Danio rerio: one gene and its partners. The protein of the gene in region 3 interacts with the protein of the main gene of each other region in a pairwise test. Links are inferred from orthologs where the notes say so. Each region holds a gene or a part of one and is shown on either strand. Other genes may lie near its edges.

Region 1 (4,424 bases), on a different chromosome or scaffold from region 3:
TTTGAAAATCTGTTCCAGAATGTTGCATAATTTCACACCACAAACAGACATACACAAACTTTTTAAAGTTGTCCTTGTTTTCAACCTCCTATTATGTTTTTCTCTCAGATTATATCCCCCTTGTCTTTCTTCAAAAAACTTTTGTATGCATTTAGGAAGTATTTTATTCCCAGCTTTAAACATTAATTGTGCTGTTTTAAATTCAACCAAATCATTGAACTTAAGTATTTTCAATTTAAAAAAATAAAGGATTTGTATGCTCCAAATACCCCACATTTTCTATCAGTCTAATTACTTTTTTCTGCATTGTACATAAGGATTGTAAGTAAATATATATTATATTGGGGAATATATATATATATATATATATATATATATATATATATATATATATATATATATATATATATTGGGGTATATGTATTCCCCCAAATTTCCACACAATAGCTCATATATGGCAACATAAGTGTGTTATATAATATATACATTGATATATTGTCCAGTATAAATCTTGCTTTTTACACTATTGCTACAGTTTTTACTATTTTTGATATTACATTATTTATTTGCGGTTTCCGCAACTAATTTTATGATCCAATATAAAACCAACAAACATAATTGCATAATCTCTATACTTAAATACTTTATTATCAATTTGGAAATCTATATTATGTCTACTTTTTAATTTCCCAGATAACAAAACCTTTTGTTTTACTTATATTTAATGACAATTTGTTTACGTCAAACCACAATTTCAATTTATTAATTTGTTTTAATCAACTCCATAAATTTTGGTAAATTATGCCCAGAACAAAATGATACTTGTATCATCTGCAAATAAAATAAGCTTAAACAACTCTGAAATCTTACACATATTATTAATGTAAATTATAAACAATATTGGACCTAAAACTGATCTTTGTGGTATGCCACACTTTGCATTTAAATATGATGATTTATGGTTGCCAATTTCCACAAACTGTTGCCTATTTTTTAAATAACTAATTATCCAATCCAAGGCTACTCCTCTAATACCATACCATACCATCATTTAAAGATGTGACATAAAGACAAATAAACCACAACCTGTCCTGATAAGGGAAATTTTCAGAAATGACTCTAAAGGACCTTAAACTTATTACACAACTGTCAAGAAGACAACAGAAGGCATATAGTCAATTGTACACTAGAGTTATCCAACAAAGTTTTGATTACACTGACAATTTAGAACCCTTCAAATCTTCTTATCAAATATGATACAGCCTGCCCAGTAAGTTTAAAGTAGCCACTGAATGTCAGACTTAAAAACTGCACAGCAGTCGTCCATTTTCCACAGACACTGTCGTGGTCAGAGATGAAGAACAGCAAAAGGTAGAAGAAAGACAAGGGGAAAAAAGGGAGCAAGTATGAGGAGGGATTAAATGTGTGTGAGGATGGGGGTGGTGGAGGAGGAAGGGGCCACAGACAAAGTGCGAATGGGAGGAGGGTAGCAGGAGAAGGGGGCGGTGCTGGCGGCAAACAGCAGAGGACGGGACACAGAGGAAGGGGGTTTCTGCCAGAGAAAAGAGAGCAAACTTTGGCATGAGGAGGAGGAGCACGGAGAATGAGCATGTAGGAGAGAAGCAAAGTGATACAGAGAGGAGAAGCAGCAGAAGTACAGTGAACTGACTGGGATTGTACCTCCAGGACAGGCTGGGGAGACGCGAGGAGGCAGCCATGCAGAGCACTATGGGTATGTCAGCAACACCACTGGATTTATTGCAGCCTGCGAATGCACGAGAGTTCAGATTACCACTGCAGCTCACGGGAGCTTTGAAGTGATGTGAAATGAATGATTAACTTTCTTAAAGCTGATAGGGTTTGGGGTGAGAAGACGCTCTTTGAAGTTTTAGCAGCACTGTTAGTGCTTTCTGCTGTGCGAGAATGTTAATGATACTGTGTTATTTTGGGGGCTGAGTAAGTTGGGCTTTTGTTTTGATTTATCAGAGATACAAAGATACAATAGTGAACTCTGTTGTGCTTCATTTAAGTTTGTCACCAGATGTCTCCTTTAAAATGTTTGAAGTAATGAAGACAAAATTAAGACAGTAAGACTGTTACAAACGTTGGTATCTTGTCAAATATTGTGCTCTTTTCTGGTTCTCCAGAGAGAGACATGTGAGATTCCCACAGGAAAACCATATAAGCAGCATGAGGCGTAAACAAAAGTCTCAGTTTACTCTCATTTTAACATCACTGTCCTCTAGAAGACATAAATGAGACGTCTTTTGTGTTTTTTGTCACCTATAGGTATTTATATCTGCTGTAAAGAGTGTTTGTTGAGCTTGTTAAGTTTTTGTGGCTGGTTTGTTTGTTTGAAAGCAGGGCCTTGCGAGTGGATTGATTTACAGGAGTCAACTAAGCGGTTTGGTTTTGTTTTGTGGAGACCATTTTGTGGAAATTCAATGTTTTGAAACTACACTTCAGGTTCATATATACTAAAACATTTTTTACAATTCTTTTAGGAGTAAAAAAAATAGAACTTTAAATTCAAAATAGCTTGGCGCTATTTTTCCTCTTTCCTAAAATTTGTTGAAATTATTCAAACAAATGTACAGAAATCATCTGATAATACTGATGTGAAAGTGTCCCCAGTCAATCACAGCAAAGTTTATATAGAGAAAAGGTGTCAGTGTTGCTCATTAATATTTTCAGTATCTACAGTAACTTTCAGAACATCAGTATCTACTAGAGCTGGGTGATATTGCAAAACATATTATCACAATATCATGTTTCATATCATCTGATATTGACAATTATCTTACAAAATACATTTAGGAATATTAGATTTTTTTTTAAACCATTTTATTTTAATTTGCCAACATTACTAAGGCAAATATGTTCAATAGTCAAAAACAAAAATATTTAAACAAAATTTCTGATCTCTTTATAATAAAATAAATAAGTGTTAAAGAGACTCCTAAACTTGATGAATAAAATGCTACAAAGTGTGTGCAATGATAAAGGTAGAACAACATCTGTAAGATGTCAATAATAATGATGCAGTAAAACTCAAATTATTTAAATACATATTATAACAATACAAATTGTTAAATACTTAAATGGCTACATTACCCCTACGCTAAAACATGTCTCAGATGGGGAGCTAGTGGCTAGGATGCACAAGAAAAGAAACCAAAAAGCCACTCTGGCGACATCTTTACATCTTTTATTGTTTATAATCTCCTCAATGCTGCTATATGGCACTCATTTTCGCATGTGTTGTTATTCTAACCTTAAGTAACAAGTGCACGCGCATGGTTTCTGGAATTGGTTCCAATTGGAATCTGGAATGGTTGCAGAAAAACCATTGCTGCAACAAGTTTATGGAGAAAAGTAAAAAGCACTGCAGTGTTTGGCTGCGCTGTGTTTGTCTGAGGTAATTAGTCTGCCGTTATTACTGAAATGTGTATATTCCATACAAAGTGTGAGGCAGATTGGTTAATTCTACTAGCATGAATGGCGGTGTGCTCTCAGCATTCAGAAAAGTTCAAATGTTTTTAACTACTGTAGATGCGGCTCAAAAATGTGCACGGTTCACATGTGTATGTGTGCACCACCTGCACAACATGGGCGCGTCGCTCAAGTCGCGCGACTTCATTGGAAATGACAAACTTTCACCCTAAACTTATTGGCACTGTTTCCAAGGCACACGTTCATCAGCCACTTTTAATAAAACTATAGTGCTTTATACCGGAACTAAATAATTCTAAATCGTTTTTTTATCGATATTGACAATGGTGGTTCCGTCAATAAATATCGATATCAATTTTATCGCCCAGCCCTAGTATCCACTATAAAACTGCTCTTTAGTGCTTGATTTTACTTGTGTTTGTCTGACAATGATGGATTAAACAGAGGAAATTAAATTCAGAGTAGTGTTAAAGCCACACCTACCTAGGTGGGTTGAAGGTCTTTACCAGCTGATGCAAACTTCTGTACATGGGAACGTCTCCCATATACAAAATTACTGAAAACAACTTTTCAGTAAAGAGTTCCAAAAGGAATCATTTATGTGTGTGTGAAATGCCTTTACTGTACTGTTAAAAACCATTTCCGCTAAAAAGAACCTTATGTTGACGATGTAAACAATGTTTAATGGAAGCATCAATGCCAATGAATTGTCTTTTTGATCTACTTTTTAGATCTTTGGACTAAAAATATTTCTTCTATGGGATCACTGTGAAACTCTCTATTAGGCGACTTTATGTTTATTGCAAATATTTAGTATATTTTTGCTTTTTTGTGACCATAAATTAAAAAGTAACATGACTTCTCAAAAACTGGCCCAGATTGGAACGTCCGGTGTCCAGAATACACACATACACACTCCAATCACTCTTCGCTCAGTGCTTACATAAAGCTTCTTCAAACTAGTCAAACAC
Region 2 (3,660 bases), on a different chromosome or scaffold from region 3:
AGAGCTAGCTGCCGGCCAATACACATTTGATGAATACATAATACACATTTGACGATCTTATTTTACAATGATTTACTAAAGATGCCCATTTCAATGGTGCTAACAGTTTCTAAACAAAATAAACAAACAATATGACTGTTTTTAGAGAATCATTTGATGACATTAAAGAATACTATTTAATGATCACCAGAAAGAAGTTCATAATCCTTTCAACAGTTATCACTTATTCTGCAATGCATTGTCATAAACATCAAAATAAATATAACGATTAATTTTTCATGTAAATATACCCATTACACTGAATGGCGATGAAGTGTTATTTTCACCCATATGCTAAGCTTTTATTTGCACAAAAGTTATTTGAAACATTAAAGTAATTATAATTGGCTTTTGGCGGCATAGTGGCTCAGTGGTTAGCACTGTCACCTCACAGCAAGAAGGTCACTGGTTCAAGTCCCAGCTGGTCCAGCTGGCATTTCTGTGTGGAGTTTGCATTGTCTCCCCACGTTCACGTGGGTTTATTTCAGGTGCTCCGGTTTCCCCCACAGTCTAAAGACATGCGGTATAGGTGAATTGAATGAACTAAATTGGTTGTAGTGTATGAGTGCGTGTGAATATAAGAGTGTTTCCCAGTACTGGGTTGCAGCTGGAAGGGCATCCACTGCATAAAACAAATGCAGAAAAAGTTGGCGGTTCATTCCTCTGTGGTGACCCCAGATAAACAAGGGACTAAGCTGAAGGAAAATGAATGAATTGACTTATTATCCCTTATTCCTATCATTATACTGAGTGACGCTAGTGGAGGCTCAACACACACTGGGAACTAATTTAACTAATTAATCATCAAAACAACTCACTACAGTGCAAATTATAAACATGTATCATCTTGCTTACTGGTGAAAACTTCACATAGTAAAAATGTTACTCTCATTTCTTAATCAGTACAATATGTTACCCTAGCAGCAAAACAATAAAAAAGAAGACTTTATCAAACTATAAAGAGGAATGTAATGACACAAAACAGAAACAGACACACTACACAAGTTGCAGAAGGGTGTGGCAGAGAATCCAACAGACATTTCCCAAGCACACACAACACACCCACATTCACACCTCACATACCTGCTCCACTGAGCAACAGACATGGCATGCGTGTGGTTTTAGTGTTGTTGTTTTTATGAAATCATTTCTACTTTGGTGAGAATATCAAACCCAAATCCCAAGGTTTAGAACTACAGGGATTATTTGTTTAAAGCCATGATAATAATTTAAATTAAATAAATTTCATTTTAATTTAAGAACACATCAAACAGAGTAAAGCTCTGAGCTGTCAGCCTCAGTGACAGGAGCAATAAGCAGATGTGCAGTGTAGAAAACTGCCGTCATGGTTCAGCTAAATTTAGCCAGGGACTAGGCTGAGAGCCCAGGGGCAGGGGATAGACACCGTCCTGCTCTTTAGGGTTAAACTTACAGTATCTCTAGGATGTGTGAAAGAAATCTCAGAGAGCAACAGAGGACAAGCACTTGCATTAGCCACTGTCTGCAGCTTTTGAGTGTTTTATGGATCAGTAAGCCACACACCGTTCTGAAACTAATCCTAGTGGAAATACTGTTGGTTCCAGGGTGGAATGAGTCACAGTAATTGCCACTCATGTAACTGCAACTTTAAACTGCAGACTGGTTTACTGGTTTGACTGGCTTGCTGGTTTTAAGAGACTTTTCATTCAAATTTAATTTATTCAATATTTGAATAATTGTTCATACATGACCAAGTGTAAGCTTGTCCGATATTGATTCTTCCCTGTAAAAAACGATTAGTCACCTTACATAAAAAGTAAGCACAATGACTTAAGTGCCTTGTTGCAACTTAAGGCAACTTATCTTTATATTTTTATAATAATACACATGGTTCATTTACCCAATCATTTTATGAAAACATGTTAACTGATTTTTTAAAGTCAACAAATCCCTTAAAATTATTTGTTTACTTTTGATCACTTTTTAACCAAAGTCAACTAATGGCTGTAAAAGCAACAGGTTTTCTAATGTTTTTAAAGGCAAATAACCACTTTAAACGGAACCAGTTTACTTTATTGTTATAAGCAAAGTCAACTAATTGCTTTAAAAGCATCAGGTTTACTAACACTTTTAAAGTAAAGTCAACTAATCGCTTTTACAGTGTCGTTCAGGCTCAAGCTTGTCCTTTATCTTCTTGAATTCTTTGTTGGCTATGCAACTGTGCTGTTTTCTAGACTTGCATATAACATTATTTCATCTTAAAGTTAGCTGTTGGCTTACTCCACCTATGGGCAACAAGAAAAATATGTGATGTATGCCGTGAAGCAGATCGTACTGTTCTGCTCATAGACGTTTCTATATTCGCTTATGTTTCTGCTGGCAGGGGATGGTTGAGGCAGTGTGTACTGTGTATTGACTCCATTACCTAAACTTGCATGTGTGGTTTTAGAGACAGGTTAGCAGAACATGGTAGATCTACACAGAAATGCCAACTGACCCAGCCAAGGCTCTAACCAGTGACCTTCTTGTTGTGAGGAGAGCATGCGACCCACTGCACCACCGCGTCGCCTATCATATCAATATTTCTGGGAATTTATTTCAATAATAATAAAACATTTTGATAAGTACAACAACAACAAAAACAAAAACAACAGTATTTGGTGCCAATAACCCTCTCATAATTAGTTACTATTCATTGAATCATTCATTCAAATGATTTGTTCAAAACTGCTAGTTTATTTAGAAACAAATCCAGTGACTTCCTTTATATATGGATCAATTAATCAATTACACACAAGTCAAACAAAAACAGATGGATTGAAAAATTACAAATATTCTGCTCCATGGCTCGCAAAATCTAGTAGCCCAAAGTCCCAAAGCTATTGTTTTTTTTTTCAGTCAGGCTACCAAAATCCATCTACACTGTGCCCAGTGGGTTATCTAGTGGGCATGGTGTAGATCAAATTTGGTAGCCCCACTGAAAAAACAATAGCCCCGAGACTTAGGGCAACTAAATTTTGTGAGCCCTGTGTTCCTGCATAGTTTGAATATATTTTCATCAACAATATAAAAAAGCTTTTAATAATGTGTCTAAAATGTAAGTTTTATGTAATAAATCATTACTGAAATTCAGAAAAATAGCATGCTTGTTTTTGTGATATCATTACATTGTATCCTATAAATACTGAAAACAAAACTCCATATAGGGATAACATTCAACTTTCTAATAGCCTTCATACTCTTACTAATATCAATGTATAAAACTTTTACATAAAAAAAAAATGAACACATACCTGGCCTTCAGCTCCTTGTAGTCCTCACGCACTTTGCTGAGCTCCAGTTGCAGTCTGGCTCGTTCTTTGGCCACCGAGTCCAGTGTTTTCCTGGCATCTGCGAGTTCAGCCTCGTACGCCGCTTTCATGCCACTCAGCTCCCGGCTGATCTCCGTCTCGGATTCAGTGATGCGCATACGCAGACCTGCGTTCTCCACCTCCAGAGAGCGAACCTTATCGATGTAGACCGCCAGACGGTCATTCAGGTTGCTCAAGTCCTCCTTTTCCTGCAATCGAGAGATGCGGGTAGGGGACAGGACATTGGTCACCCCACCGCGGCTGCTTCGTTTCTGACCTGGAGTCTCCATGG
Region 3 (2,896 bases):
GTACAGGTGAATTGGGTAGGCTAAATTGTCCGCAGTGTAGGAGTGTGTGTGTGGATGTTTCCCAGAGATGGGTTGCGGCTGGAAGGGCATCCGCTGCGTAAAAACTTGCTGGATAAGTTGGCGGTTCTTTCCGCTGTGGAGACCCCGGATTTATAAAAGGACTAAGCTGACAAGAAAATGAATGAATGAATGAATTAGATGAGTGACTTGCTTTGTTTACCAAAAAAGTGGATCTAACTTGATTTGCATTGTAAACATCAAGTCAAAGTCAAATATAGATTATTTATTCATAAATTAATAATTTTGTAGTTATGATACTCCTTTAATAATTCCGCATAAATCGGCAGATTTTTTACAAAATTCTTTGCAGAAATACCAAAAAATGTCTGCAGATTCTTTCTGGCCCTAATAGTAAGTTAAGTCACTGTAAGGCAAGGCAAGTTTATTTTTATAGCACATTTCATAAACAATTGTAATTCAAAGTGCTTTACATAAATAAGAATAAAAGAAACCGATTAAAATGTGTAAATCTGGATAAACTGCAACTGTCTGACTGTCTTTTTGGGAAGGCCAGTGAGGAGTCCATTAGAGTAATCCACCCTGCTGGTCATAAAAGCAAGTTTCTCTAAGCCCTCACTGGAAACAAAGCATCTAATTCTTGCAATGTTTTTGAGTGATAGGATCAAGTGCAATGATAGTATCAAAGTCCCTTTAAGGCAAGTCATTTCACTCTGCGGCCATCTTTGAAACACCTCTTGGGCAGTATGCTCGGGCATTCTGTTTAAATGGGGAAACAACAAATTCTCCAAAACTACTTGCCAAGATTACAATTACATTTAACATTACCAATAACTAATGAAATAAAACAACGACTGTCTATTTAGTTTCATTTCTAAATGTTCGTATCACACAAATCAGCAGAAACTCACATCTGGTCCGAGCCCCTTCTTGGAGAATTGTCATTCAATAGCGATTGCTGATTGGCTACTGTATTAGAAGGCGGGCTTTATTCTCAATATAGCAATCGCTGATTGGCTCCTCTACTAGAAGGCGGGCCTTCATTCGCCATATTGACAGTTACACTATTCCTCATTCAAAAGTATACGAGTGACTTGTCTTGTGTATTCTATCGTCTTTGATAGTATGCTGACTCCAAAATCACATCAAGACTCGTGACCTCATTTTTTGTTGTTTGACCCTTAGAGCCAAGGTATGCATTCACCTTCAACATATGATTAAAAATATAATAAAATGCAATAAAAATTAGTTCACCCCATTGAAATTTCTAGTGAAATATATACAATAAATTGCAATACCGAAAAAAAAAACGATCAAAAGAAACATAAAAACTATGTTGTAGTTCAAATTTACTTTAATTAATGTGACTGTTTAATATAACTGTTTTGTTTAAATGCATCAAACTATGTTGTCTACATTCCCAAAGAAACTGATCAAATAATTTGCAAAAGATGCTGTACTTATTTATGCTCCGCACTATATACTGTATATGCTTATAAACAGGAAACAAGATCTCCAGAGACAGAAAGAGTATCAGGACGAGATGAGAGAAATCCAGAAAAGAGTAAAGGGAAGGCCTTTGTTACTGGAGCAAGTAGCACAGGTAGGCACATTATATCTAATTTATTTTGTTGTTTTCAATTTATAGGCTTTTCTTTGGGACTTGAGGAGAGACGGAGCACTTGAAAAGTCTCAAATTTGGTAGATAATATAAGGCTGTCTCTTGTTTTCTCAGATGAATGCTAAGAGAGCTGCTGAAAAGCTCTACTCTTCCACTTTGCATGGATGTGGTCTGAGTGAATCCTTTATCAGCAGTAAAGCTCCAAAGGGCTTAGAAAACAGACTGACTCCAAGCCCCGCCCACTCCGACAGCATGAGTCCACCCACATACAGGTATAAATGATCCACAAATAAACCAGCAAGTCAAAAAATCCCTTTTGTGTACAATTTAAAAAGATTTTTGTAGCATATTTATCAGATTTCCTCTGAAATTTCAATTATTTTTCAGGTATTTTCCAAGTTATCTTTAACGCCCCATTCACACGGGGCTTCAGCGTCAAGGCTTCCCATTCACTTTGAATGGGGTGATGTCAGGCGTTGCCAAACTGCATTGTGGATCCGTCGGCGCCGTTGCAGAGGCGTTGCTCGCTGCAGAAGTGGGGACTAGCTTAACTTTTCAAGCGTTGACGGAAGCGTCAGCCAATCAGATCGCTGTATGCGAATACACCAGCTAGACAGTGGCCTATTGCTGACTGAATTTAATTGGCTGACGCTGCTATGACGATCGCGTTAGCCCCAACTTCAAACACGCCTTCAGTCAAGCATTGATGCTGAAGCCCCGTGTGAATGGGGCGTAACAGAGCAAGAAACATTAACAGTATTCCCTTAAAATTTTTTCTTCCTGAGAAAGTCTTAATTATTTTAATTTGACTGGAATACAATCAGTTTATAGTTGTTTTCAAACTATTTTTAAGGCCATTATTATTAGCCCCCTTAGGAAATCATTGTACTCCATTGGCTACAGAACAAACCAATGTTGTCAAATGCTTGCCTAATTAACCCAAATTGCCTAATTATCTCTTAAGCCTTTAATTGGCCTAAAAACCACCCAAAAAGCTTCATGTACAGACTGCGATATTTATCTTCATGCTCACAGATCCACAAAATGACTGAAGGCATTATAGTGTTCATACCAGACCAGTAGTTGTCAGGTGACTTTATATAGAAAAGCAACTCACCTGCACACATGCATTCATTTTACAGAATTTATAATGCTAATACTTCCAAAAACATGCCCTTTGAAACTTATTTTCAGGCCTCTAGATTGCTGTTATTATATAAGTGATCAGCCAAACTGCTCCTAAGCAGAAATCTCAAC

What was found.
Region 1: the proteins of fam161a (region 3) and lzts2a interact in binary tests that used the Homo sapiens proteins (3 or more experiments, as listed by UniProt). The two-hybrid records come from large-scale screens. The link is inferred for Danio rerio from reciprocal best matches to the Homo sapiens genes FAM161A and LZTS2.
Region 2: the proteins of fam161a (region 3) and lmna interact in binary tests that used the Homo sapiens proteins (3 or more experiments, as listed by UniProt). The link is inferred for Danio rerio from reciprocal best matches to the Homo sapiens genes FAM161A and LMNA.

The regions. Positions count from the first base shown.
Region 1 is NC_133188.1:20,794,853-20,799,276, reverse strand, and holds the start of lzts2a (leucine zipper putative tumor suppressor 2a), read left to right. Parts: upstream 1-1,570; 5' UTR 1,571-1,732; intron 1,733-4,424. UniProt on the Homo sapiens protein: Negative regulator of katanin-mediated microtubule severing and release from the centrosome. Required for central spindle formation and the completion of cytokinesis.
Region 2 is NC_133191.1:33,779,720-33,783,379, forward strand, and holds part of lmna (lamin), read right to left. Parts: 5' UTR 3,659-3,660; coding exon 3,312-3,658; intron 1-3,311.
Region 3 is NC_133176.1:57,133,145-57,136,040, reverse strand, and holds part of fam161a (protein FAM161A), read left to right. Parts: intron 1-1,521; coding exon 1,522-1,621; intron 1,622-1,753; coding exon 1,754-1,911; intron 1,912-2,896. UniProt on the Homo sapiens protein: Involved in ciliogenesis.